7 linked regions of the Callithrix jacchus genome follow. The protein of the gene in region 3 purifies or fractionates together with the protein of the main gene of each other region. This does not show direct contact. Links are inferred from orthologs where the notes say so. Each region holds a gene or a part of one and is shown on either strand. Other genes may lie near its edges.

Region 1 (3,500 bases), on a different chromosome or scaffold from region 3:
TCTAAGGCTACTCTTGTCTTTTCTGTTATCTGAAATAGGAAACATCACATTGAGAGTTTGGAAGTTAATCAGGATGTAAATAGTCATCAAATATATCAATTCCCTGTTACCTCTTTAATAGCTTCTTCATCGGGCCTTTGCAGGTCTGGGTCATCTGCATTCATAACCTCCTTTGGAACCAGGTCAGTGTATTTGCTGTAAATGACCTAAAATGTTCAGACACAAGTAGGCTTAAGAAAAGCAAACAATGAAAAGAAACCTCATTAAGCCACTTCAGATGTCAACACGTCCTCTCAATAGACTTAAAAATTTGGGACACTCAGATTTTGTCTTTTAGATTTTAAAACCAAGGATGATTAAAATAAATATACACAAATTGCTATCCTGGCTATAAGTTGATAATTTTCCCTTGACCTCATGCATTTAAATTATTTGAGATCTTCTAATCAAGTCAGTGTCCAAATAAACTATGCCAACAAAATCATGCATCAATGATCTCTATTTTTGAGGCTCACTAGGTCTTGAAATTAATGATAATAGAAATTGCCTATAGGACCATTATCTTGGATTACAAACTCATCAGAATTTAATTCAGGTTACCAAGTATTATTTCCAAAGTCACTGGGCCTGGAAAATTTTATTGACCTCATCCTACTTATAACGCTTCTCTTTTCTGCTGTCAACTCTATTCACAGACTAAGAAAATAAACATGTGCCACAGTTAAAAAACCCAGAACACTTTCTTCCGTGAAAAGACAAAAGGAAAAAAAAGAAAAATATATATACTCTATATATACAACTTATTTTATATCCATTATCCAAATTGAGGCCTGTTATATGACTTCTAGTAGGCCCAACATGGCTTCTGTTAGGGTGATGCTGATGTGGCAGGCCCTTAACAAATAGAATATTGGTTGCTTTCAGGTCCATCTATGCTTCTTAAATATTTTCATAAAAAGTTTCATGGCATATATTAAAGTAAAAAAGAAATACAGAAAATTCAATAAATAGGCATTCTACACTTTAATGCTTTGGTCAGAAATTCTTTGATGTACATTAAAAGGACAACTTATAACTATCAAAGAAAATAAAATTCCTAGGCACTCGAGATCTTCAGAATTTTTTTGTAGAAATGTTTAGTGCTACAAGCAGTCTTATATTAATAAAGTCTATCATACTTCATTCTTTAAAACAGTTTAAAGGAAATGGATGCTATTTCTAATTTTATACTCCAAACAACAGAGCAAAAAAGTGTGAGCCACTTCATGGCTTACACAACTTGACCTGACTTTGCCTATGCCTTCAATCTCCCCTTATAACTCTTACTCTCTCACTCATTATGCTTCAGTCACACTAGCTTATCATCTGTTTCTTGAACATAACATGCTTTTCCCCAATTCTAGGCCTTTACAGAGTGCTGTTCATTGTTCTTCAAGTAAGCTCCCAATCTGTGTATTTCAGATCAAAGGTCCTGCTTTAGTGAGGCTTCTTCTGACTGCCCTTGCTAAAGTGGCAACCCCTCCCCACCCAATCATTTGCTCCATAACACTGTTTACTGTGATCAAGACTGTTCACAGCATGAAATTATTTATCTACTTTACTTGTTTATTATGTCTCCCCTATTAAAGCAATTAAAATAGGGCTGGGCATAGTGGCTCACACCTGTAATCCCAGCACTGTGGGAGGCTGAGGCTGCAGATCACCTGAGGTCAGGAGTTCAAGACCAGTCTGACCAACATGGAGAACCCCATCTCTACTAAAAATAGAAAAATAAGCCTGGCATGCTAATGGGTGCCTGTAATGCCAGGAACATGAGAGCCGAGGCAGGAGAATCATTTGCACCCAGGAGGCAGAGGTTGCTGTGAGCCAAGATTGCACCATTGCACTCCAGCCTGAACAAGAACAAAACTGTCTCAAAAAAAAAAAAAAAAAAAAAATCAAAATAATAATAGCTACTATTTAGTAAGCACTTTATATGCCTGTTTTTTAGAGTTTATTAACTAAATAAGCTTTTTATCAACCCTAGGAGGTATGCACAATGATAATACCCATATTACTTGTCAGCAAAATACATATATATATTTTTTTCTTTCTTTTTTTTTTGAGACAGAGACTTGCTCTGTCACCCAGGCTAGAGTCAGTGGCGAAATCTCGGCTCACTAAAATTTCCGCCTCCCGGGTTCAAGAGATTCTCCTGCCTCAGCCTCCTGAGTAGCTGGGACTACAGGCACGTGCCACCAGGCCTGGGTAATTTTTTTTTTTTTTTTTTTTCAGTACAGACAGGGTTTCACCCGATTGGCCAGGATGGTCTCCAACTCCTGACCTCATAATTTGCCTGCCTTAGCCTCCCAAAGTGCTGAGGTTAGAGGAGTGAGCCACTGCGCCCAGCCTTGGGCAATCTTATTATTAAAGTATCTACTGGCCAGGTGTGGTGGCTCATGCCTGTAATCACAACACTTTGGGAGGCCAAGGCAGGCGGATCACCGGAGGTCAGGAGTTGGAGACCAGCCTGGCTAACATGGTGAAACCCCGTCTCTACTAAAAAAATAAAAAATTAGCTGGGTGTGGTGGTTGGTGCCTGTAATCCCAGCTACTTGGGAGGTTGAGGCAGGAGAATCATTTGAATCCAGGACGCAGAGGTGGCAGTGAACAGAGATCGTGCCACTGCCTTCAGCCTGAGGAACAGAGGGAGATTGTCTCAAAAAAAAAAAAACAAAGTATCTCCTGTGCTTATAATAATGACTAGTCCGAAGGAGATATTCGATCAATTTTTTTGTACAAACAAATATATAAATGAATTTTAGAGATGCTCTGTTACATGCTAAAGGTGTTTATATGATTCATGCCTGTAATCCCAGCACTTTGGAAGGCCAAGGTTGGAGTATAACTTGAGCCCAGGAATTCAAGACCAGCCTGAGAAACATGGGAAGACTGCATCTCTATTTTAAAGAATAAATGAATGAATGAGTGAATAAACAAATAAGTTTATATTTTAGGTCCTACAGAACTTTCTATAAGCTATTGATTGCTCAGAAAAAAACTATCTCATGGCTATTCGCTGAAATCTCCAGCTTGTTTTTCTCCGGAATGAGAAGAGGGATCAGGTAGGACAGCATAAGATGTTTTAGCACAAAACACATACTACTGATATGTGAGCTATTAGTGTCATCATACTCTAAGAGTGTTCATTTTGAAAGGGATCATAAAACTTACTCTATTGAAAAGAGTGAGGCTCAGTACATTAAGATCACATAGCTACTAACTGACCTCAAAAGTCTTATTTCCTCCCATGATGGAAAAACTTATACAACCATAAGCTGAAAATTATATAACAACACTAGAAAAATATACCAAGTCTATGAAGAGTTAATCATGAAGAGTTTATCACTTCTCCATAGCAATCATTATAGGAAATGATTCTAAGTAAACAGTTCCCTGGTAGTCATACATGTTCAACATAAACTGTCAATAGTAATTTAGCATACAAGAGTCATTTGCTG
Region 2 (3,500 bases), on a different chromosome or scaffold from region 3:
CCACCCTGCCCAGCTAATTTTTGTATTTTTAAGTAGAGACGGGGTTTCACCATGTTGGTCAGGCTGGTCTTGAAGCCCTGACCTCATGATCCCGCCGCCTAAGCCTCCCAAAGTGCTGGGATTACAGGCATGAGCCACCACACCCGGCTCATAAGCTGCATTTGTAAAAGCAGGGTCATATAGTACATAATTCAGTTAGCACTTCAAATTAACACTTTAATTATAAGTAATTAAAGTTAGAAAATATAATCACATCCAAAAACGAGGCATAATAGCAGTACTATCTTAGAGGATTGTTATAATAATATTTTTAATGTGTAATAGGCATTAAATAAATTAGCTATTATCTAGATACACTCCCTATGATCAATTACATAAATATTTGGTCTCAGAATTTTAGGTCCTACCAACTTACCTCTCGTAAACTAATTTTAGCAGTATAAATTATATTTGATCCATCTCTTTTAAATTTTGGATGATCTTTGTCTTTAATGATAAAAACAATGTCTGCTGGAATACTGTTTGGTGTTTCATCTCCTTCTCTTGGAAAAGTAATTTTGGTGCCTTCTTTCCACCCTTTTTTAATCTCAATGGTAAGAATTTTGTCCTCAGATCTGTAACTCCTTCCATCAGCATTTAGCCTTTTTCGAGAAATCTTCATCCGTTTGGTACAACCATTATATATCTCTTCAAGTGATACTCTAAGTTCATGAATAACTGGAGGATCTTGTTTGAGGCGGGATGGCCCCACAGAATTCCTGTCTCTTGGATATCCATTCATGCTGAAACCAAAGGCACTAAAAGGATCACCATCTATTTCCATTTCTTCAGAATCTCTACCACCACCCATTCGTCTTCCAAAGAAAATTTCAAAGGGGTTGGACCCTCCAAAAAATGCAGCAAATGTAGCATGAGGATCGCCATGAAAGGTGTACCGGAAAGTACCTCCTTGTCCATCAGTACCTCCAGCTCCTCCTTTCAACCCTAATTGAAGAGATAAGCATGATTAGAAAAAAGCTTGCAACTCTTGAAAGTCAAACTTTCAAAAATTGTATTGCTAATAAACTTCGGCTAACTTACATTAAAATTTATTAATATTGGTCAGAAATGCCATTTTAACTAAATATAGAACAGCTATAAAACTCTTGATGATTATATCCTAAGTTAAATTGTTAGTTTTAAAATTCTTCCTCCAAATCAGCATCTTTAATAATTTATTCCTGAATCTTTGTTCCTCAGGTAAGTAAGGAAAATAAAATAAGGCCAGGTACAGTGAGTCACGCCTGTAATCCCAGCACTTTGGGAGGCTGAGGCAGGCGGATCACCTGAAGTCAGAAGTTCAAGACCAGCCTGGTCTACATGATGAAACCTTGTCTCTACTAAATATACAAAAAATTAGCTGGGCATGGTGGCAGGCACCTATAATCCTAGCTACTCAGGGGGCTGAAGCAGGAGAATCGCTTCAACCCAGGAAGCGAAGGTTACAGTGAGCCAAGATCGTGCCACTGCACACCAGCCCAGTCAACAGTGCAAGACTCTGTCTCAAGAAAAAAAAGAAAAAGAAAAGAAAACTGGGAACTGCTTATCTTATAAACTACTGATCTGGAATGTTGAAGTATATAAATTATGTAAGTATCTACTTATAAATAATAAGTTTTTAAAAGATGTCAGTTGAAAGGTCTTCAATAATCAATACAAAGTACAGAACCTAAATCTTTAATTTGTATTACAATTGAACAATATATAAAATAGAAAATACATAAATATATTAATAAAATATATAGCAATATAAAATACCATATTCATACTGTTTATACATATAAACAAAAATACCATATTCATGCTGTTTTTATATATTTTATATGGAAATATATAAAAATATAATGTAATAAAAATCATATTCATACTAACTAGTTTTATTTCAGATCATTTTTTACTGTATGAGAATCAAAATAGGGCCAGATGCAGTGGCTCACGCCTGTAATCCCAGCATTTTGGGAGGCCAAGGTGGGCAGATTACTTGAAGTCAGGAGTTTGAGACCAGCCTGACCAACATGGTGAAACCCCGTCTCTACTAAAAATACAAAATTAGCCAGGCATGGTGGCACATGCCTGTAATCCCAGCTACCTGGGAAGCTGGGGCAGGAGAATCACTTGAACCTGGGAGGTGAAGGCTGCAGTGAGCCAAGATTGCACCGCTGCACTCCAGCCTGGGCAGCAGGAGCAAAACTCTGTCTCAGAATGAATGAATGAATGAATAAATAAATAAATAAATAAAATTAAATTAAATATAACTCTGTGGTAGAAAGTGAAAAAATTCTAATAACGAGGGCACTCTATGAAACTGTACTCTTAGACACTGAAATTATTATTCCTACCCTCAATACAAAAATTATTTATCTAGGCATATCACATCTTAGCATTAATTTCAATGCTTTTAAGAAGACTGAAATCAACAGCTGTAAACCTTGACATGTAAGGTCTTTGTATGGGTTACTTCTGTCTCTTGTGAACAACCCACCTCAGGCAACAATATAGTGATGTTTTGACCCTTTTCTTTCACACAACATTTTCCACTATGTATAAAAAGAAATGTTCTACTAAAACCCATAAAACAACAGTATAGTGATCTTTTAAGGGGTCAATACTAATAAGGATTTCTATCATTACAATATCAGCAGTTTCTGAGTGAGCATTAAGCGAATTCCTAACCAGGAAACAAGCAGAAAAGAATCTAAACATCATAAAATTACGAAAAATTCAACAGATTAAGCTAATGTTTCCTAACAGAGAGTGATCTGAAGGCAGGAAATCTATTCATTTTGTATTGCTCATGCATACAGGGCTGAAAATTGTAGGCATTCATGCTTAGTGAATGAAGGGAATGAACTAATTCCTAAAGTCCTTCTTAATCAAAACTTAAAAAGTTTGATTTGTCTTGAGTATCAGTACAGAGAAAAAGGCAGAAGCAAAAACAACGTAAAATATAATCATGTATATACATATAAGAGATATTTAACACTTTAAAATGCCATTAACACACAGCATACTTTAAAGAAACTTAGTTTTGCTTACGTCTTATTCTACATTTGGCTTCTTCCATTAAAAGTTATATATGTACTCTATTTCATCTAACAGAGTCTCAAGTCATATCTAAATTTTTATCTTCACCCATGAATAGAAATCTGGAGCAACCAAGAGAGACCTAATAATCTGAAAATTGTCAAAATATGTATTGAACAATATATCCAAATAGCAGTTAGGGAAATTCCTTGTAGAAACTGAATGACAAATATAAGCAGGACAAGAACTTTTCATATGCAGCTCACCCAAATTTCCCTTTTGTAAATTTTAGTAGTATAATTATAACTCCAAATGTTAAAAAGCCAATGGCAGATTTTTTTAAAGGACAGAATAATATGTAGCTCAAGGTCATGACCCAGGTGACTCAACCAATGCTTAAATTATTCAAATCATTTTATCCTTCATCTCATAGACTT
Region 3 (4,032 bases):
TTAGATAAATTCCATTAGAGATAAATAAAAACCTTTAACAGTTAGTAGAACTGCTGTCAAACATTTTAAATATCATGTAGGTCAGTTCATACTCCAGGTCACAAAACATTTGGCATAATCCTATTTTCAGTTTCATAGGGAAGAAATTTCTTACTCAATTGATAGGACCAATGTGGTTAGGGAACGTTAAGTGCACACAGCTAAGTACAAACTGTAAGGTTTTATTCTACCCAGTTACACTACTTTATTACTCAACATACAATCAAACTACTAGAGCAAAATTACATAAGAGTTTCCTAGTTTCTTTTAAAAATCAACCTTGTTGTACTCATGATTCTCGTTTTAATAGTGTAGTGTTCTGTGCCATTGCCCATGTGGTTTCAAAAAAACTTTAATAGGATCAGTATTAGCATTTTTTCTCTATTTTTGCTTACCTTCAGAAATCCTTTTCAGCCAGTACTACTTTTTTAAAAAGAAGAAAAAAAGCCTACAAAAGTCTAGAACTACTAAAAAAAAAAGGCCTTGAAACAAACAGCCACATATTAATCAGACTTTTCTCAACTCAAATATTAAGCAAGTTGTAATTTAATCAGTGATGTGCAGTAATCAGAATTCATTTTACATTAATCAAACATTAGAATATAATAATCTTCAAAACCTGAGGCTTTATTTTAAAGAGGAGCACTTCAGAGTGCTTTTGTACCTACCACATGTGAGGCATTTCAAGTTGGAGGACAATGACTCCGCTTGAAGGAAGGCAGGGTGGAGTAGCATCCTCCCTATTCCTTTAGGAAAAAATCTTTTCTTTCTAAGGGAGAGCCAGAGTGAAGTGGTTGAGAACATGCCCTTAACATTCTTAAGATATGGAGAAGTGTGGGTTACTTGTTACGTGGCTCCCTAAGGAGAAACATTATCAGTTGGAGGGACTTCAAGTAACTGAAGCCACTAATTTCTGCTTTCGCTCTACTTTTCCTGGGAGTGGAATGGGTCAGGTTTGCTAGTACATAGAAAATCCATGAGGAAGCATTACTTCTCTCTTCCACTTGCCTAATTCTGAGTGGAACCCCAAAACCCGGCGTAGGGCTGAGGTTTCTCTGCTGCCATCCATGAAATTATCGTGAGTGGAGAATCTCTCCCTCTCTGGCTCTTTTCTCCCAGTAGTAACAGTAACAGTGCCTCACTAGTTAAGAGATACCGTGGTTATTGAAGTATTTTCTCGGCAAACGGACACTTCATGCTTGGGTATACTAATGGAGGGAGATAAAGACACACACAGAGTGTTTCCCCAACTTTTTGGCTCACATGCCTCTGCTCATGCACAACCTAGAGAAAAAGATGGAACCAACTCCTGTGTACAGATTCAGGGGATTGCAGGTGCCTAACACGATTTTCTTTTAACTACACTTGTTCACAAAAATTTCACAGGAACTTGAAACAAACATTCAACAGGAAGTATATAAAACTTTTCAATACACCGTTAAAGTCCTTCCATAAATCTATTAACATTAAATTGTTTCGAAATTCTACGCACGTCTACTTCTATATTACCTAATAAAATCTTAAGCAAGAAAAGGAGAAAACTACCTTTTCATGCTTTCAGGCCAGAGACTATCACTTAGTCTTCCATGCAGGGAGGTGCCCAGTACGGAGAAACTAACGGAGCGGCTGAATACCGCCAGCGAGGTTAGGGGAGACAGGGGAGGCAGCAACGTCTTCACTGCACTAAACACCCAGTAACCCTACCACCCACCCCTCACCCCTCTCTAATCTGCTCTCAATGGATCGCGGGGTTGGTTTTGTTTTTTTCCATTTTTGCTCCGAAGTGCTCTGAAGCAGGGAAACTTAATTTCACGTGAAGGGCCACTGTAAACTGCTGCCTCCTTTAAAAACGCATACGGGAAAAGAGTAAGTTAAAAACATCTGGGGCCACACAGAAGGTTCTAGAAGTTCTGCAGACCCCGGCTGCCACAGTCCTTAATCGCATGGAATCTCACCGGGACTTTTATATCCTCTGATTTTTTTTCCCACTCTCCAACACCCAGGTAAGTCAGAGTGTGGCCACTGATTACGCCCTCACAGGTTTAGCTTAAATCGAACGCGTCCTCTGTCGGACTAGGGGAGAAAATCCGAGAAACAAAACTGCTCCACGTCCATCCACCACAAATCTCAACAGGAAACTTCTGCGGCCGCCGCCTCACTGTGCCCCAGACCCCGGCCAGCCACACACGGCCTCCGTCCGCGAACCGCGGCGCAGCTAGCAGGACGCCCGAGACCGCCCGCCCGTCAGCCCGCTAGCCCGCCAGCCCGCCGCTCACCTGAGCTCCAGCTGGTCCAGGCTCTCCAACAGGCGGCTGGAGCGGTCGGCCATGGAGGAGGAGCGGCAGAAGCGCCCCTCGTTGGCTTTAGCGTTAATCTTCGCTTGAGCCATCTAAGCTTCTGACGTGGGGCAGCCGAGAGGTCACCGGCCCCTCCGGCGGCGGCGAATGGAGCGCTCCTGCGGCTGCAAGCGCTGCCGTCACTACGCGGGAGCCCGCCCTCCCCGCCTCTGACGCCCGCGGGAGCAACCCTAGAGGACCCGCTAACACCGCGGCTGCCGCGTGGCCAAACAAGGGCAGGCGCGGCGCCCGCGGGGCTCGGGGATGCCGGGCCAGCGAGGGAGCAGCCGCGGCCGGAGGAAGAGGTGCGCGGACCACGAGCGCAAGGCTCTGAGGCGCCAGGAGGGGCGCACGCAGAGACGTAGCGCTTAATGTGGTCTGCCGGGTCTGCCGCTTGTCTCGTCAGCTCCTCAGACCCAGGAACTACCCGAAGCGCGCGCGGACCCACAGACCACCCCCAGCTCCGCCCTGCGAGGCCCCGCCTCTCCGTGCAGACTAAAAGTAACCAACTCCCCCCACGCGAAGGTTCCTATCGGTCGATGGGCTGTGGGTGTATTGCTCAGTAATGGGTTCGTTTAGTTTCTCCCAGCACCCATAATTCAAAGCAAGAACAACGACATTTGAGTCCTGTGATATGGGGAGAAAACGGCCTTATGTAAAACACAAGGCAGTACAGCTTCTAGGCAGACTACACGCACCTGACCTTCCTATTACCACTCTTTCCTGAGATGAGTAATGAAAGCACCTACAGCAACTGAAGCTTTGAAAAAGAAAAAGCTATTCCATCTCTCCTTGTCTAGCTAGATGTGGGAAGCAAGGTGAATATATTTCATTTTTACCATTCTATTTTGAATTTGAGACTGGGTCTGTCACCCAGGTTGGAGTACAGTGGCACGATCACGACTTAGTGCAGCCCTGACCTCCTGGGTTCCATCGGTCCACCCACCTCAGCCTCCCAAAGTGCTGGATTACACGCTGGGCTTAATGAAGGGGTTTTTAATTTTTGCTATTAAAATTATGCCTGTTAAGTGAACCAAGATCTCGCCAACTGCTTCACACCAGCCAGGGCGACAGGGCGAGACTTTGTCTCAAAAAATAATAATGATAATACTTCTGAGTGAAATAATTGGTATTAAGGAGTCTTCAACTTTTAAAAATCTTCTGTTAACAAAAAGATGCAGAAGGCCTCTAGGTCAGGCATGAGCTGTAGTTGACAAAAGATGGAGTAGAGCTGAGAGTATAAAGACTGGACTACTTAAAAAGTGAGGCTTTGGTCCCTCTCCTGATAGCTCTATGCCTCTCATTGCAAGGATGAAAATCTACAAGGCACAGAAAATGATAGATAATAATAGTTTAAAGTTGAACCACCACCTTTAATCAAAGAGATCAAAGCAGTTTAAATACTTGAACAGAGTTGAAGCCCTTAAGGCTGGATCCCAATTCCCTCTGAACTCATTCTAAATCCTAATTAACTATTGGGGTAGGGGATTATTTGACCTTATTAAAAATACTCTGTCATGACACAAACGAAATCAAAACACATTTTGTGAGTGGTCTGAAAGCCTATCAAGTGACTTTGGAATCATCCTGAACTCTTTTTCTCTCATAGCCTACCTAGATCCAGCCTATTAGTAAATCCCATCAATTTTACCTTCAG
Region 4 (4,076 bases), on a different chromosome or scaffold from region 3:
TTGACACCATCTACCAGCCAGAAGCAAAGGGACACAAGCATCAAGTCCAGCTGCTGGTCTGTCTGCCTCTCACCCCTGGACAGGGACTGGAGGAGGAGGATGTGGGCCCCTCCTGGGAGGGCTGCCGGACCCAGTGGGGCAGACTGGAATGCCTTTTCCTGCTGTTCCCACCACCTGATGTCCTATTGCTCAAAAAACCACTTAAGTCTAGTGTATGACTCTGAAAGATTGTAATATATGCTCTGGAAAACATTCAGCAGTATGAAAACCCTCCCTGGGCCCTCCGCCCTCTCATGGTCCACAATAGGTAGAAAGGTCCAGAAATCCTTGAGCTCTGGAAAGGTCCCTAGTCAGTCTGGAGAGCTCAGGTAGCTATATCGGAAGAACCTTCTCAAGTGCAGATCTTGATGTCTGGGGAATCCTTTCGGGGAAGATCACTTCAAACTCAATAATGAGGTCCCCACGTTTCTCGGGCGTTTTGGGGAGGGGGAGGCCTTCTCCAGGAACTTTTCGACGCATGCCAGGCCTGATGACATCTTTGAACACCACGGGTATGGTCCTGCCGTCCAGAGTAGGGACGTTCACTGTGCAGCCACACAAAGCCTTGGAAAGCAAAGGGACAGCATTAGATGGAAGCTGGCTCAAGAGGCTCAGCTCTTGCCCAGAGGCCATCTGGCAAAGAGTAAGACCCATCAGGCCTGTGCAGCCAAGACCTGGTTCCCAGATCTACACGTCACCACCATGAAAGCTCCAGCAGTCCTGTTCACTTTGTGCCCCTAACCTGGCATGTACCACATGCCCCAACACATTTGCTCAGCAAATAGTTATCTGCTTCAAAGAGCAGCCATCTACAGCCACTGCCCCACCTGGCACCTTACCTCCCGGAGGCTGATCCTGGCAGGATAAATGACATCAGAGCCATCTCTCTTAAAGATATTGTGTGGCTTGTCCTTTAAAACAAAGACAATATCAGCTGGAATGTTGTTGGAGGTCTGGTCTCCTTCCTTGGGGAATGTGATTTTGGTCCCTTCTTTCCACCCCTTCTTCACTTCGATGGTCAAGATTTTGTCTTCATTTCGAATGCTCTTTCCATCGGGGTTTAGCCGCTTGTGGGAGATTTTCATCTTCTTGGTGCAGCCGCTGTAGATCTCTTCAAGGGAGACCCGAAGGTCGTGGGTGACTGGAGGATCTTGCTTCTTTCGGGCGGGCTCTTGGGCAGGGCGGGAGCGGCCAAAGTTCATGTTGGTGAAGCCACCCATGCCCATATGGAAGCCAGAGAATGGGTCGTCAATGTCCATGCCTTCCTCCCCGTTCCGCTGCCCAAAAAAGGTGTCAAAGGGATTTCTGCCACCGAAGAATTCAGCAAACATGGCATGAGGATCTCCATGGAATGTGTAGCTGAAAGAGGTACCATTGGCACCACCACCGCTACCGCCACTGGGGCCGCTGCCCTTTAGCCCTAAAAAGCAGAATTGGAAGCAGTCAGATGGCTGAACAGCAGCCTCTCTCAAGGAGCTTCCCTTTTGGGGGCTGGGGGGAGGAAGCTTGGAAGCCATGGGGGAGGAACTTTTTTTAGCCTGTCAGGGGAGAGCGAGGAAGAACCCCAGGTTTCTACCTCTCACTGCAGCAGCAGAGACGCCCCCCACCCCAGTACTTCCGTGTAGTGTGACAGTGGCAAAGGACTCATGCAGTTAGGTATCCACCTCCAGGTGCCACCCATGCCCTACCATCCCTGGACTGACTCATCCCCCTGGCTATGTCACCAAGGATGGCTTAAGACACGGTCCAGGGTGGGCTTTCGGTAAGTGTTTACTCTCAACATTTTAGGACCACTGATGAGAAGAGTAAAAATAAGGAAAAAAAATAGATGGGGAGTTTTTGAACCCTCACACACTAGCATTCACTGCCACCATGCTTGCATAGAAAGTCAGTTCATTCCTCCAATTAAGCCCAGAATCCAGCCTGAGTCATCAACCAGCACATGGACAAAAAGCCCCGCTCTCTGCACCTGGGCGGCCGCAGTGGGCGCCGCTGCCTCCTGCGTGCCCGGCCGGGGCCAGGTCATCGCTTTCCAGGTATTATCCCATCCCCGCCCGCAAGCCCGCGAGGGTCGGCGCCCGCATTCGCAGCCCGGCGCCCGCAGCTGAACCTGAGACGCCGCCCTGCAGACCCCGGCGGCCGAACCTAGGTAAGCCCCGGCCCGCAGTGCGCTCCGCCGCGCCGTCCCCGTCGTCCGCCCTCCGGCTCCCACACGGCCCCACTGCCCCTGCACCGCACCCCGGGGCTGCTCCGGGCCTCGGGAGGACGCGCCCAGGGAGGGGCAGCCCCAGACTTGCTAGAAGATTCTGGGCGAGCGGCTGGGCCAAGGCTCCTCCTCCCACCCCGCGGCCACCAATCCGAGGGCGGAGGCCCGCTTGGCCCGAGGGCGGAGCAGCTTAGCCCCCGGGCCCGGGGCGTCCTCCCCGGAGGGGGGAGGCACCCAGAGCGGCCGGCGTGCCTCGGTTTCCCCGCCTGTCAAACGGCGGGGCCGCGCCCACGCACCTTCCTCCCCGTAGCGGTCAAAGATCTCGCGCTTGCGCGGGTCGCTTAGCACGTCGTAGGCCTCGGCGATCTCCTTGAACTTCTCCTCGGCGCCGGGCTCCTTGTTCTTGTCCGGGTGGTAGCGCAGCGCCTGGCGACGGTAGGCCCGCTTGATCTCCTCGTCCGACGCGCCGCGGGACAGGCCCAGCGTCTGGTAGTAGTCTTTGCCCATGGCCCCCGCCTGCGGCCCGCCGCCCCACAACCGCCGTACCCCGGCTCCACCGCCGCCCGGTCCCGGACTCTATATACCCGTCCGGCGGAAGCTTCCAGAGCCCGCCAGCCCCCTCCAGAACCTTCCGCCCCGCCCCCCCCAGCCGGGCCGGCCAATCGCCGCCGCCCAGTCCGCGACGCGCGACATCCGGAGCGGGGCCTCGGCGTCAACGGCCGCCCGCGCGGAGCCACACCCCCTCCTGCTCCGCCGTCGGCAACGCCTCCCCGCGGCGCGCACCCAGGTCGGAGGAGGCCCCGCCCAACTTCCGGGACGAGCCAGTGGTGGCCTTCTTTCACTCTCTACGCGGCCCCAGCGACTCTGCGCCCCGCCCTCCGCCTGAGTCAGTGGGTCGGGAGGCACGACGAAGGTGCCGTTTAGGGAAGGGGTGGGGCCTGGGGCTACCCCGACCTTTCCCCAGGAGATGATGAACTTGCCCACACTTGTCTCGTTGGGCCCGCTGTGGGCTCCCTCCGGGTGACGCTGCACGAACTGCCTGTGTCTGCCTAACCCAGGAGCCCCGTTTTATTTGTAATATGGAAATAAAAGAACGCACCAGGCTGGGCGCCGGGCCTCACGTCTGTAGTCCCATCACTTTCTGAGGCCAAGACGGGAGGATCGCTTGAGGCTAGGAGTTGGAGACCAGCCTAGGCAACATAAGGAAGCTGTTTAAAATGACCAAAAGGCAGCGCGCTGTGGCTCACGCCTGGAATCCCAGCACTTTGGGTGGATCGCCTGAGGTTAGGAGTTCGAAACCAGCCTGGCCAACATGGTGATACCCTGTCTCTCCTAAAAATAACAAATTTGTCAGGTGCGGTGGTACACACCTGTAATCCCAGGTACTTGGGAGGCTGAGGCCTGAGAATAGTTTAAACACGGGAGGCAGAGGTTGCAGTGAGCTGAGATCAGCCATTGCACTCTAGCCTGGGCAACAGAGCAAAACTCCATCTCAAAAAAAAAAAAAGGCCGGCACTTTCTGTAATCCCAGCACTTTGGGAAGTTGAGGCAGGCAGATCACAAGGTCAAGAGATTGAGACCATCCTGGCCAAATGGTGAAACCCCGTCTCTACTAAAAACACAAAAAAATTAGCCAGGCCTGGTGGCATGCACCTGTCGTCTCAGCTACTTGGGAGGGTGAGGCAGGAGAATTGCTTGAACCGGGGCGGCTAAGGTTGCAGTGAGCCAAGATCGGGCCACTGCACTCCAGCCTGGTGACAGAGCAAGACTCCCTCTCAAAACAAAAAACCAACATAATGAGAAAATAAAATGAACAAAGAACCCACCAGCA
Region 5 (3,500 bases), on a different chromosome or scaffold from region 3:
ACCCTAGATTACAATGTGGCTTTAAGCTCATAAGGTGGAATAAAGAATATACACTGGGTAAAACATCAGAGCAGCAAAGATTTTAGTAAACGATACCAAAACCTTTATATTGTATATTGACCTTGCATATGCTCCTGATAATAATCCAGTAGATTCTGTCTTCTCGAAGCTTGCTCACAAGTAAACACTAAACTATTTCTTAGAGCTAGAATAAATATGGTCGAAAAACAACAGGCTGGGCATGACAAAATTCTCATACCTGCTACAGCCATGTGGATAAGGCAGGTTATTTCTTCTCTTGGCCTCAGTTCTCTCAAGGGAATAACCCTCCTAACTCTAATATTCCATGAGTCTAATTATTTAATTTACTGCTATTAAGTATGAAAAGACCAAAATCATATACCTCAATTTGTCCTAGGAAATTTCATACACAATTCAAGGTTCTTTTTGGACACAGACAACTAACTGAACATTTATCAAGTTCTGTATTCAAGGCAGCAGAAATGAAATTTATCTTTATAATAGCAACTTGCAGTTGTTTCTTAGACTTGCTGATGTAATCATATTTAGCCTGCATCTCAAGCCTTATCCTAAATATCGAGGAATAAGGCCACATCATGTGTTAAGAGGTACTCCAAGCTACTTGGTAACATACCAATTACATTAAGACAGGAGAATATATACATATCTTAATGTACTTAAATGGGGATGAGGTGATAAAACACGGAGGATAGCAGAAGAATTTCATCAGGAAATGCAGTATAGATGAAATGTGAATTGAAGAGTTAGAGCTATAAGCAACAACAGAACAAAAATCAACCAAAATACAGTAGTTAGTTTTAAAATATTTGGCAATAAATTTGTGAACTGCCAGCCAAAGCTTCAAGTATGGAAATGAAGACTGGGGTAATAAGGAAAATGATGTCTATGTTTTATTAGAATCATGATTATATGTTATCTGGCTTCAGCCTACATCCATTCCTACTAGAGACAGTGACCATCATTACCAAACTCACTGACCAGCAAAGAGAGACAGGTGAATGGAGTGGAGGAGAGCAGCAGTAAAAAGAGGAAGAAAGGTAAAAAAGTATCGTATGCAAAGTACCGTTCCTTCTGGGTCTTGTAGGACACAGTGTGGTAGATGTGAACCAATCAAAAATAAAAAGATGAGATTTCACATCAACTTCCCCTCCACTCTTACTTAACTCAAGACTTAGGGCTCACTTAGATGTCTGCTGACCGAAAATAATCAGCCATCTTCATGTCTGTTATAACAGATGCTCTCCCACATTGGCCTTTTCAGCCACGCCCTCATATAAGCTCATTATGAAGTAATGAGAGCATGCTTACAGGATACAAACAAATATCCACCTCATCACTCTTTGGTCACACATGTATCTCAATGGCTTCAGCTCTGACTATGAAGTACATAAGCAAACAAATATAATAATAGCAGTTAAATTCTGGTGGAGAGTAAGTACTTTTTGTAGTTATTATATTCAATTACACCTAATTACTAGGGTTAAATGATATAACAGCACTTTGTGAGATAATGTTCATAACCAGTAAAATTTCTACAGCTCGGTTTGACCAGTATATGCTGAGTGATTCCCCATGAATTCATCTTCTTCCACTGAAATAAATTAAGGATTAGTTTTCACCTGCTCCAACTGTAAACAAATTTAACTTTAAAAAGTATAGATAAAGAACGAAAGACATTCAAAATAGGTAAGAAAAAAAAGAACAAAATATTATTTCACTTAACTCTGAAAGGAATAATAAAGCATATACTGCTTTTTTTCAAGTTCTTCACCGCTTTGAATTATGTGAGGATATTTAAAGGTTAAATACATGCTTTTAGAAGCACAATGTTAATTCCTATTATTTAAACCAGATAATTCCAGATAATCTAATTTTGACACACAAATCCAAATATTTCACCAACTGGAAAATTAAAACTGCTAAATCTGCTCAATGAATTCCTAATTTTTGAAATCACTATTTTGCCCCAGGACTTTAATTGGAAGTATATATAACTTCTGACTTTTCCATTTACTAGGCTAAATAAAGTTATTTCATAGGAAAAAAAAACCCTGTATATCATAACGTTTTTCTTTTGAATGAGTATCTTGGGAAGACAACTAGAGACTTAATTTTTTTTAAAAAAGGTACCCCAAAATATACAACATGCTAATGCTATTCAAAATCTGGATCCAATTTACCTGATGCAGAGCCATGAGTTGAGGTCATACTTTTGACCTTGGAGTCTGAGAGTCGAGAAATACTGTTAGCTCTAATTCTAGGAGAAAATTTATCTGATGGTACTAATCTGGCTCCACTTCTAATGATGGCTTCTGCGGTCCTCGAAGAGGCACTACTTCTAGAAATTGTTGCTTCAGAGTCACTACGAGCTGACAGTGAGCCAAGTCGTGTTCTACGAGGCTGAGCCAATAAATCAATCCGAGAGATGTTGCGCCTTCCTGTGGGAGGTTTTGATGTAGAACTTGTTGTGGATACTTCAGAAGCAACAGATGCTTTGTCAGCATCGGCAAGTTCACTGTCTGAAGCTTCACCAAGTCGTGCTCTGCGCAAGAGGGAAGTCCTGGTAGGTCGTGGCCTTGGAAGAGTGGTGGATTTACTGGATGAACCAGGTACTACAGGAGAAGTCTTAGATTTCACTACTTTACTTCCTTCCAGTTTGGAATGTACATGCTCATCAGCTGAGGTAAGGGGAGTCCGAGCATGAGGTTTACAAGAATAAGTTTCTTGATCAGATGACATAATATCAGAGATAGCAGAATGAGGTACACTGGAGGTTTGGTCATCATCTGTTAGGTCCACTGAAGGCTGTCTTATTCTCCCACTAGATTGAACAAATTTACGACCATCTGCTCTTGAACCCACATCTGTGGAACGACTTTTTGTTTTCTTTTCAATTTTTTCCCTAGCACCTGAAGATGATGCTTTTGTAACATCTTTGGAAGGAGAACCTGTGGAACACCTATCTTTATAGAGGCTGGTAAAACTCTTTCGCTTTTGGGTAGACTTTCTCTCAGTTTCTCCAGTAACCAGACTGATTGTACTAGCTGTATCTACATCAGATTCTGGTGAAATAGAATTGTCTCTATTATAACTAGGAGTATCTGGTCCTTCATCAGTTTTATTATCTTCACGTAGTTTAGCTTCTAGAAAAGCCATTACCGCTTCTGTGTCTTTTAGAATAAGGGTTGTGTCCATACTAGAATCAGGATCCAAACACTCACTTCTTTCCCGTATCCTACTTGCAGATGTTAACGCTAAAGAAGAAGGAGTAGAAGTATTCTGTTTATTTATATGGGGAATAAGTTCTATGGGTATGTTTGAGCTGGGCTTTTCTATAGTGAAGCTCCCTTGTCGCACTAATGACTTGGAGGATTCCTTCTTGTCGCCTCCCTTTGGAGTCTGAGTTTTCAGAATTTCCTCGGCTTTTCTTCTCTTGCTCTCACTTTGTGCCATTCTTT
Region 6 (3,500 bases), on a different chromosome or scaffold from region 3:
TGGTCATGAAGCCGGGGTTGTTCAGCAGGCCGGCGATGTCGATGCTGCCCGCGCCTCCCGTCTGGGGGTGAGAACAGCCTGGTGAGTGGGGCCTGGATCAGGGGCCACGATGAGTAAGCCCCCTCAAGACAGCGGCCCCTCGGGGCTCAGACATTCTACCAACCCTGCGGCCAGAGGCTGCTGAGGCAGGCGGCACACAGCGCAGGCCGGCTGGGGGCCAGCCCCGTCTACCGTCCACGCCTCTACTTCCTGCATTCCGCCGCTCTGACACCTTGGGGCCTCGCTGGCGTGGCAGAGCTGGCCCCTCCTGGAGTGGCCACTTCCCAGAGAGAGCAGACGACTCCCCCAGGAACGCCCCTTAGAAATACACACCCACCGACCTAGAACCCACACCCCTAGCACCTCCCTGATCACCTCAGAGCCACAATCCACCTGCCCCAGCCACCCCCAGCCAGGGACCAGGCGACCAGGGCAGCCCCCAGGCCTAGGTCCAGTGAAACAGCTCAAACTGGCCAACCCTAAGCCTCGCCACACGACCCACAGTGAGGGTCTGTATGTGGCCTCTCCCCACCTCCCGCCTAGCCCTGCAGCCAGCCTCCTGCCTCCAGGGGTCTGGGAGCAGGAACCCACTCCTCACAACAGTCACTTCCACGGGCGCGTCTCACCACTGACTGAGACCCCGGACCCTCACGACAGGCAGGTTAAGCCGAGAGCTGGTGGTGCGCCCAAGGACCTGTCCCCACCCGCCAGTCAACCCTGCATTCTGGGGCCACTCGCCCCCGCTGCACTCACAGGGCTGGGGGCCTCCCGCAGCTTCAGCTCTGCGATCTTGAGATTGGACTTGTACGTCTCGTTGTCGGGGTCCAGCTCTAGGGCCTTCTTGTAGTAGGCCACGGCCTCCACGTGCTTGTTCAGGCTGGAAAGCGCCAGGCTGGGGAGAGTGCCGGGGACAGCCTGGTCCCATCTGCCCTGCTCTGGGAGGCCCCACCCAGTCCCCCCTCCCCAGCGGCCCGGCAGCCCCTGTGCACTGTCAACTCGGTGGAGGCAAACCTGGCTTTCGAGGGGTCCAGAGTGGGACTGAGGGAGACAGACATGAGAAGACCCGAGGCACAAGAACTGGTGTCCCCACGGGGCCACGCAGGACTTCAAGGCCTGAGGGGGCTGAGGAGGGAGCGGGCAGGCATGGGGTCACAGGAAAAGCGTGGATGTGGTCTGTGCCGTGCTTCCTGGCACAGGGCACCGAGGACCCTTGGAACCTCTGAGGGACAGACATGTCTCCCACCATCCACAAGCACCTCGACCCCCACCTGAGTCTTCACTACTGAGGTGACTCGGGGGCCCCTAGAGAGCCCAGGGCGGGTCCTGGGGAGACCGAATCACACAGACTTTGAGCATTGGAAGCAGCAGGCAGAGGCACCCTCGTGCTGGGGGGGCAGCGCCGGCCCCACGGGGCACAGGCTCCTGCCCTGGGGACCTCCTGCCTCGCCCTCGGACCCCTCCTGTGTCCTTCATCATAAACCAGGTGCTCCCCTGAGCTCTTGGAGCTGCCTGTGCAAGCTACGGCGCCTGAGCGGGGCCTGTGGGAACCCCAGCGCGCAGCCGGTCGGGGAGAAGCAAGGGTCCCGGGATCTCCGGCTGGCAGCTGACGCGGGGCGGTCTGTGGGACTGAGCCCGTGGCCTGTAGGGCCCACGGCTAGTGTCAAGGCTGAACCGACCGGGGTGGGAGAATCGGTGCGGGTGTGGAAAAGGCCACACGGGAGGAAGCAGGAGCACGCAGGAGAAAAGGGGCCCCGGACGGCACTCACGGCCCTCACCCCATCCTGCCGTAGGCCTTGCTGTAGGCCGGGTCTATGCAGATGGCCCGCTCGCAGTCCTGCACGGCACCCGCGTAGTTACCGAGTTTGCTGTAGGCCGCGGCTCTGGGGAAGTAAAGGCAGGGCAGGTACCTCACCAGCAGCTCTGAGCTGTGGGCAGCCCTGGAGGGAAGCCTCAGTGCTGCGTTCCTCTCCCGCTTCCTGGAGGCGCAGCCTCAGTTTCCCGGTCTGTAAAATGGGGCTGGTGGGGAGAGCTGAGAGGTGTGGCTGCCGAGATGCTCTTACAAAGATGTGGGCTCAGAGCACCAACGGCCGCTCGGGACTGCAACTCTGGACTTTATTTACAAAAAATGTTCCGACCCACAGCAAAGAGTGCAGGAAACGCACACCCAAGTTTTATCACCAAATTTACTGACGTATCAATAAAAAAAGAACTCAGACCAGGTCAGGGCGCAGTGGCTCACGCCTGTAATCCCTCTGTCACTCAGGGTAGAGTGCAGTGGTGCGATCTTGGCTCACTGCAACCTTTGCCTCCTGGGTTCAGGCAATTCTCTTGCCTCAGCCTCCTGAGTAGCTGGGACTACAGGCACCTGCCACTACACTAGGCTAATATTTGTATTTTTAGTAGAGACAGGGTTTCGCCATGTTGGTCAGGCTGGTCTTCAACTCCTGACCTCAGGTGATCCGCCTGCCTTGGCCTCCCAAAGTGCTGGGATTACAGATGTGAGCCAGCACGCCTGGCCCCCGGACTAACTGTTTTTACATTTTCTGTGGAGAGAGGGGTCTTGCTATGTTGCCCAGGCTGGTCCTGAACTCCTGGCCTCAAGTCATCCTCCCACCGTGGACTCCAAGAGCGCCGGGCATGCCGCCTGATTTTAACGTCAGCATCGACTCTCCGTGACCCTCTTGCTGGCCACCTGATGCTTGTTCCTGGCCTGGGACCCCTGGTGAACCCCATCTACAGTGCAGAGGCCTCTCCCACCTCCGGTCCTTGCTAAGCACCCGGGAGACCGCCCCTGCCCTGGGCAGGCCCTGAGCTGGTACCTGTTGCAGAAATAGACGGCGTTGGCGGGGTTGAGCTCGATGGCCTTTCCGTAGAAATGCACAGCCGCTTCAAAGTTTTCCACCTTCATCTGCTCATTTCCTAAAGAGAGAAAAACCCTGGGGCGTTCGCAAAGACCGAGGGGCCTCGGCGCCACACGCGGCTCTTCTGGGCGCCTAGGATTCAACACGGACGCGGGCTTGGGAGGCGCCTGCATCTATGGGGGGGTTCTCTAGTTGCAGGGACTTAGGGAGATGGAGGCAGGGGCGGCAGGGCCTGGCCTGTGTCTGGCAATGGTGGCTGTCACTGCCCGGACGGCGACGGCTGGGAACGGAAGGGTTAATGCGGCTCACTGGCCCAGGGAGCGAACTGTCTCTTTTGCTATAATTTTTGGAAAGAGCCCAGGTGGAGGCCTGCGTTCTAGAATACTCATGTGATGTCTTCTGACTTCACAGGCAATGCAGCTTCTCTCTAAGGTGCAGCTGGCAGGGCGGTAAAAAGCCCAGCTGTGGCCGGGCACGGTGGCTCACGCCTGTAATCCCAGCACTCTGGGAAGCCGAGGTGGGCAAATCACAAGGTCAAGAGAGTGAGACCATCCTGGCCAACAGGGTGAAACCCTGTCTCTACTGAAAAATACAAAAATT
Region 7 (4,050 bases), about 63 Mb from region 3:
TTTTCTAGGAATTTCATTTATTCATTAAAAAAAAAAAGATGAAAGTAACTTATTTTGTTTTTTCCACCTAACATTATTGTTAAAGTTTTACTTTTCAGGTTAGCACTGCTTTTAGAAAAATCTATGCAAAGTATGAGTGAGACAGCTGCCTAAGCTATGAGGCTTAGCCCTAGACAACATTTATTCAGAATTGTTCACAGACTTATGGCAACCAACATTTTTGGTATAAAACTAAATATGATGTCAACTTGTATTATGTCTAGTCCTATCAGAGGAAGACTGATCTGGGGGCTCAGAAATCTATTAGGGTTAGGGGTGTCCAATCTTTTGGTTTTCCTGGGTCACATTGGAAGAAGTATTGTCTTGGGCCACAAATAAAATACACTAACACTAATGATAGCTGATGAACTTAAAAACAAAATAGCAAAAATATCTCATGTTTCTTTAAGAAAGTTTATTCATTTGTATTGGGTCACATACAAAGCTATCCTGGGTGGAATCTGGGCCTCAGGTTGGACAAGCTTGTGTTAGGGTCTCATCTCCAATCTTGGCTAGCTATATAATTATGGATAAAGAATCCCACCAGTCCAAGCCTCAAATCCTCATCTATACAATGCTGAGGCTAACCTAAGATGATCTCTAAGATTCATTTCAAACATAATTTTATCTTCATCATTCCTACCACTCCCATTACATTTCAAGGTATTTCATTTATTCATCAAACAATTATTAAACACCTACTGTGTCTCTAGCACAAACAGTTACTGAGTGTACATTTTGATCATACCACTGGCATATTAGAAAATTAGTTAACACATAAGCTTAAAGTTAATAATGGGATTAAGAAAAAATAGTTAAGTGGTTTATTTGGTTTAGAACTCACAGAATGATGGATTTATGGATCAGTACAAAACTCTCCACATTTGACACTGCTCAGAAAATAAGAATGTTATTAAAATACTGTGACTAATCAAAATATAACAGGTCTACCACTGACACGATAAAACCAACTGCCAATATGTATAAACTCTATTTCTGGCCCATAAAAGACAAAAAGGTATGATAAAGTCAGCTTTCATGGGGACAGAATCTCAGTCCAATCTCTAACACGAATACATTTCTGAATAACAGTCTGTGCTGATCCTTCTTGTCAACTTTTAATCCTTCCAACTGATGAAAAACATGAGACATCTGTTTATTTTAAGTACATGCTAGTGGCTGGCTTTTTCATCTTCACTTAGCTTTGTACAATTGTACAGAATGCATTAAATGCTTAATACAAACACACACAATGCCTCCCACTCAACTCCTAGCAGGGAATGGGGGTAAAAGGATAACTCAGATAAGGAACACGCAAAAATTAAATCCTAGAAGAAAGATGGAAAAAAGAACAAATAATAACACAAGGCAAACTATGGTATTAAATAGTTAAAACTTCAGGGTCTTAATAATGTGTTAACTCCCTGTTAAGACAAAAATAAATAAAACTGAGGGTTCCTGTAATAGGAAGAGAACAGGAAAGAAAGGCAGGAGGAGGAGGGGAGATAACATTTACTCAGCACGTTACAGGTGCCAGGCACTATGCAGGTAGTTTTCGCTTATTCTTCTCAGGAACTCACACATGAAAATATGCCTCAACAGGTGACCATCTGCAGTAAGAGTTAACCATTGCCCTTCATAAAAAGATTCCAACAGCCTAAGGGTGTATTCTAACGCACTGGCACTGTGGACGTAAACAATCATTCTGCCTAGAATCTTGTATTTGGAACTGGAAGAGGTCTTGGATCACCTAGGCAACCCATCCATCTTATAAACGATTAACCTAGACCAGACAAGTTAAGGGGCTGGACTAAGGTCATCCTTGTTTAGAAGCAGAGTTGGGATCAAACCAATCATCAATACATGGGTATGCCCCTCTGCTGGTAACTGTTCAGTGAAATTGAGTCATTACTAAGTTACTGACCACCTATTAGTACTTTATTAAAACAATCCTAATTATCCGATTATACAAACAGCACAGAATCTCCAAAGAATTTGTCAATTTCTATATATGTTTTAAACCAACTGATAACCAGTAACCTGTGTTTGAATCTGTCTATTTCCCTGACTGCTCTCCTCATTAAGATCCCAGATGCAGAGCGGTGTTGGAGGAACGAGAGGTGATCGGTCGCTGAGGTAAGGATCGCCTCCTATAAAGCCCCACGTCGATGATCCTGGCCCTAGGCTCCCTGTCCCCTCCGCGATTTGTAACCCCTGAGCCGGGCTGGAGGACGGAGGATGAGTGTGCAGTAACGTGGCTCCCGCGCCCTCGGCTCGCCGATTACCCTCGCGACGCCGGGCCGGTTCCGAACGCGGACTGGACCGTTAAGGGGCTGCCTGGGCCGCTACGCCCCGCGCGGGCCGCCCCTCCCCCACCGCGGCCTGAGGCGAGAGGCGCTGCCGGCCGGGCCCCCACGGCTCCCCGAGAGAACAATACAGGGGGTCCCCCGAGAGACCGTACACCAAGGCTCGCACCGCGGGCCTCGCAGACAGCGGCGAGCCGCAAGGCCGCGAGAGACCACCCCGCAGGAGAGCGAGTGAGGAGGCGGTTATTTAGGGGGTTCAGAGGCCGCCGTGGCCTGACCGTACCTGACTCCAGGTGATGAACTCGTTAGTGTGGGTTTCCTCCACAAGCGTCCACAGCTTGCTGAGGAAAGCCGGCACGTTCGAACTCTGCTTCATTGTTAACGCGGCGCAGGGATTCCAAATTCTACACCCGAACACTGTGGTAGTGGCGACGGCGGTGAAGGCAGCAGCTCCCGGAGAACGCCCACAACGCAGGCGCAGCAGATCTCGGTCCCCGCCCCCCAACCCCGCCAGGCGCGCGGTGAGGCCGAGAGGCAGGGCTGCCGCACGTGACGGACAAGTCTCCTCGCTCCGCCTGTTCGCGCAGTGGTTCCGCGCCGTTCCAGTCCCTGGCCAATCCCAGAGGCCGACCGCACGACAGAGAAAAGTGATTGGCTACTACAGACATGAAGGGGGCGGGAGCAGAAAGGGGTGGGAGCAGAAGGGGGTGGGAGCAGAAGGGGGTGGTAGCAGAAAGGGGTGCTGCCTTCTCATTTGCCTTTTATACAGAAGGCTTGAGGGTAGCCGGCCTTTGGCTTGGGCGACCGTGTTTGGTTGTTTCACGTGGAATAGCTTATGGTTTCTGGACTGTGGCTGGGAAGCTACAAAAAGCCCTCTAGGGCCTTTGAGTCATAAGTTTGGCAGCCAAAGTGTGGTTTCCACCAGTTTAGAGAAAGGATCATTCGCGTAAGGAAAAAGCCAGCTCTTAAGCATGATGTGCTAGGCCTCAAATTGAAACTATCTTAAAAATAATGAACCTTGTTCTTAAGTTTTCATTGGAAGAAAAAGCCCTCTTTAAAATGCATTTATCAAAAAGAGCAGTTTAAAAAACTCACTCTCTACTGCTTAGAGCTGTAAACCAGGAACTGCAATTGATAGTACATCATGTGCTGTTTTTAATCCAGTCATCAAGTGCCTACTCTGTACCAGAATAAAAAGAAACAGGCTTGTTTATATTATTTTAATTAAAATAGTTGTTCCTGTATATACTTTACAGATCTATTTTTTTTTTTGACCTGAGAGATTGGTATAGTGGGAAAAAATAATGAAACAAAGCCTCTTGGACATTTTACTGTGTATTAAAATAAGCCTGTACTGTCATTTAGAGCAATTCCTTAGCTACCAGTGCCAGTTTTTCCCATTTCTTGATTGGGAGTAAGATCTATCTTTTTACCCATTAAGAGTGTCTTTAATAATATGGTTGTGAATATGCTTTGAAAATATGAAGTCTACAAAATTAAACATTTATTTATTTTTACAAAAGCTGGCATGTGAAGACAAAAACTTACAAACAAGTAAGAGATAACACATTATACAAAAATTCAGCATAGAATGGGTTTAGTTCTTGGGTAAATATAAAATAGTACATTAAATATATATATCTTCCAAAGAGCAAATATTTATTGAATACTGCCTTTGTGCTCAGCACTGGGATATTGGCTGAAG

The links.
Region 1: the proteins of BAG2 (region 3) and SNW1 purify together in Homo sapiens (affinity purification with mass spectrometry; 3 studies listed by BioGRID and IntAct, with this or other methods). This does not show direct contact. The link is inferred for Callithrix jacchus from reciprocal best matches to the Homo sapiens genes BAG2 and SNW1.
Region 2: the proteins of BAG2 (region 3) and DNAJB4 purify together in Homo sapiens (affinity purification with mass spectrometry; 4 studies listed by BioGRID and IntAct, with this or other methods). This does not show direct contact. The link is inferred for Callithrix jacchus from reciprocal best matches to the Homo sapiens genes BAG2 and DNAJB4.
Region 4: the proteins of BAG2 (region 3) and DNAJB1 purify together in Homo sapiens (affinity purification with mass spectrometry; 4 studies listed by BioGRID and IntAct, with this or other methods). This does not show direct contact. The link is inferred for Callithrix jacchus from reciprocal best matches to the Homo sapiens genes BAG2 and DNAJB1.
Region 5: the proteins of BAG2 (region 3) and CEP170 purify together in Homo sapiens (affinity purification with mass spectrometry; 3 studies listed by BioGRID and IntAct, with this or other methods). This does not show direct contact. The link is inferred for Callithrix jacchus from reciprocal best matches to the Homo sapiens genes BAG2 and CEP170.
Region 6: the proteins of BAG2 (region 3) and SGTA purify together in Homo sapiens (affinity purification with mass spectrometry; 3 studies listed by BioGRID and IntAct, with this or other methods). This does not show direct contact. The link is inferred for Callithrix jacchus from reciprocal best matches to the Homo sapiens genes BAG2 and SGTA.
Region 7: the proteins of BAG2 (region 3) and HSF2 purify together in Homo sapiens (affinity purification with mass spectrometry; 4 studies listed by BioGRID and IntAct, with this or other methods). This does not show direct contact. The link is inferred for Callithrix jacchus from reciprocal best matches to the Homo sapiens genes BAG2 and HSF2.

What each region holds. Positions count from the first base shown.
Region 1 is NC_133509.1:112,696,542-112,700,041, forward strand, and holds part of SNW1 (SNW domain-containing protein 1), read right to left. Parts: intron 207-3,500; coding exon 111-206; intron 30-110; coding exon 1-29. UniProt on the Homo sapiens protein: Involved in pre-mRNA splicing as component of the spliceosome. As a component of the minor spliceosome, involved in the splicing of U12-type introns in pre-mRNAs.
Region 2 is NC_133508.1:115,232,952-115,236,451, reverse strand, and holds part of DNAJB4 (dnaJ homolog subfamily B member 4), read right to left. Parts: intron 985-3,500; coding exon 416-984; intron 1-415. UniProt on the Homo sapiens protein: Probable chaperone. Stimulates ATP hydrolysis and the folding of unfolded proteins mediated by HSPA1A/B (in vitro).
Region 3 is NC_133505.1:65,540,836-65,544,867, reverse strand, and holds the start of BAG2 (BAG family molecular chaperone regulator 2), read right to left. Parts: upstream 2,801-4,032; 5' UTR 2,429-2,800; coding exon 2,316-2,428; intron 1-2,315. UniProt on the Homo sapiens protein: Co-chaperone for HSP70 and HSC70 chaperone proteins. Acts as a nucleotide-exchange factor (NEF) promoting the release of ADP from the HSP70 and HSC70 proteins thereby triggering client/substrate protein release.
Region 4 is NC_133523.1:13,295,148-13,299,223, forward strand, and holds the start of DNAJB1 (dnaJ homolog subfamily B member 1), read right to left. Parts: upstream 2,801-4,076; 5' UTR 2,753-2,800; coding exon 2,542-2,752; intron 2,263-2,541; exon of another isoform or gene 1,953-2,262; intron 1,460-1,952; coding exon 879-1,459; intron 604-878; coding exon 373-603; 3' UTR 1-372. UniProt on the Homo sapiens protein: Interacts with HSP70 and can stimulate its ATPase activity. Stimulates the association between HSC70 and HIP. Negatively regulates heat shock-induced HSF1 transcriptional activity during the attenuation and recovery phase period of the heat shock response.
Region 5 is NC_133520.1:42,978,452-42,981,951, reverse strand, and holds part of CEP170 (centrosomal protein of 170 kDa), read right to left. Parts: coding exon 2,223-3,500; intron 1,474-2,222; exon of another isoform or gene 1,371-1,473; intron 1-1,370.
Region 6 is NC_133523.1:2,607,270-2,610,769, forward strand, and holds part of SGTA (small glutamine-rich tetratricopeptide repeat-containing protein alpha), read right to left. Parts: intron 2,959-3,500; coding exon 2,859-2,958; intron 1,920-2,858; coding exon 1,815-1,919; intron 932-1,814; coding exon 793-931; intron 62-792; coding exon 1-61. UniProt on the Homo sapiens protein: Co-chaperone that binds misfolded and hydrophobic patches-containing client proteins in the cytosol. Mediates their targeting to the endoplasmic reticulum but also regulates their sorting to the proteasome when targeting fails.
Region 7 is NC_133505.1:128,928,445-128,932,494, reverse strand, and holds the start of HSF2 (heat shock factor protein 2), read right to left. Parts: upstream 2,801-4,050; 5' UTR 2,722-2,800; coding exon 2,629-2,721; intron 2,359-2,628; exon of another isoform or gene 2,080-2,358; intron 1-2,079. UniProt on the Homo sapiens protein: DNA-binding protein that specifically binds heat shock promoter elements (HSE) and activates transcription. In higher eukaryotes, HSF is unable to bind to the HSE unless the cells are heat shocked.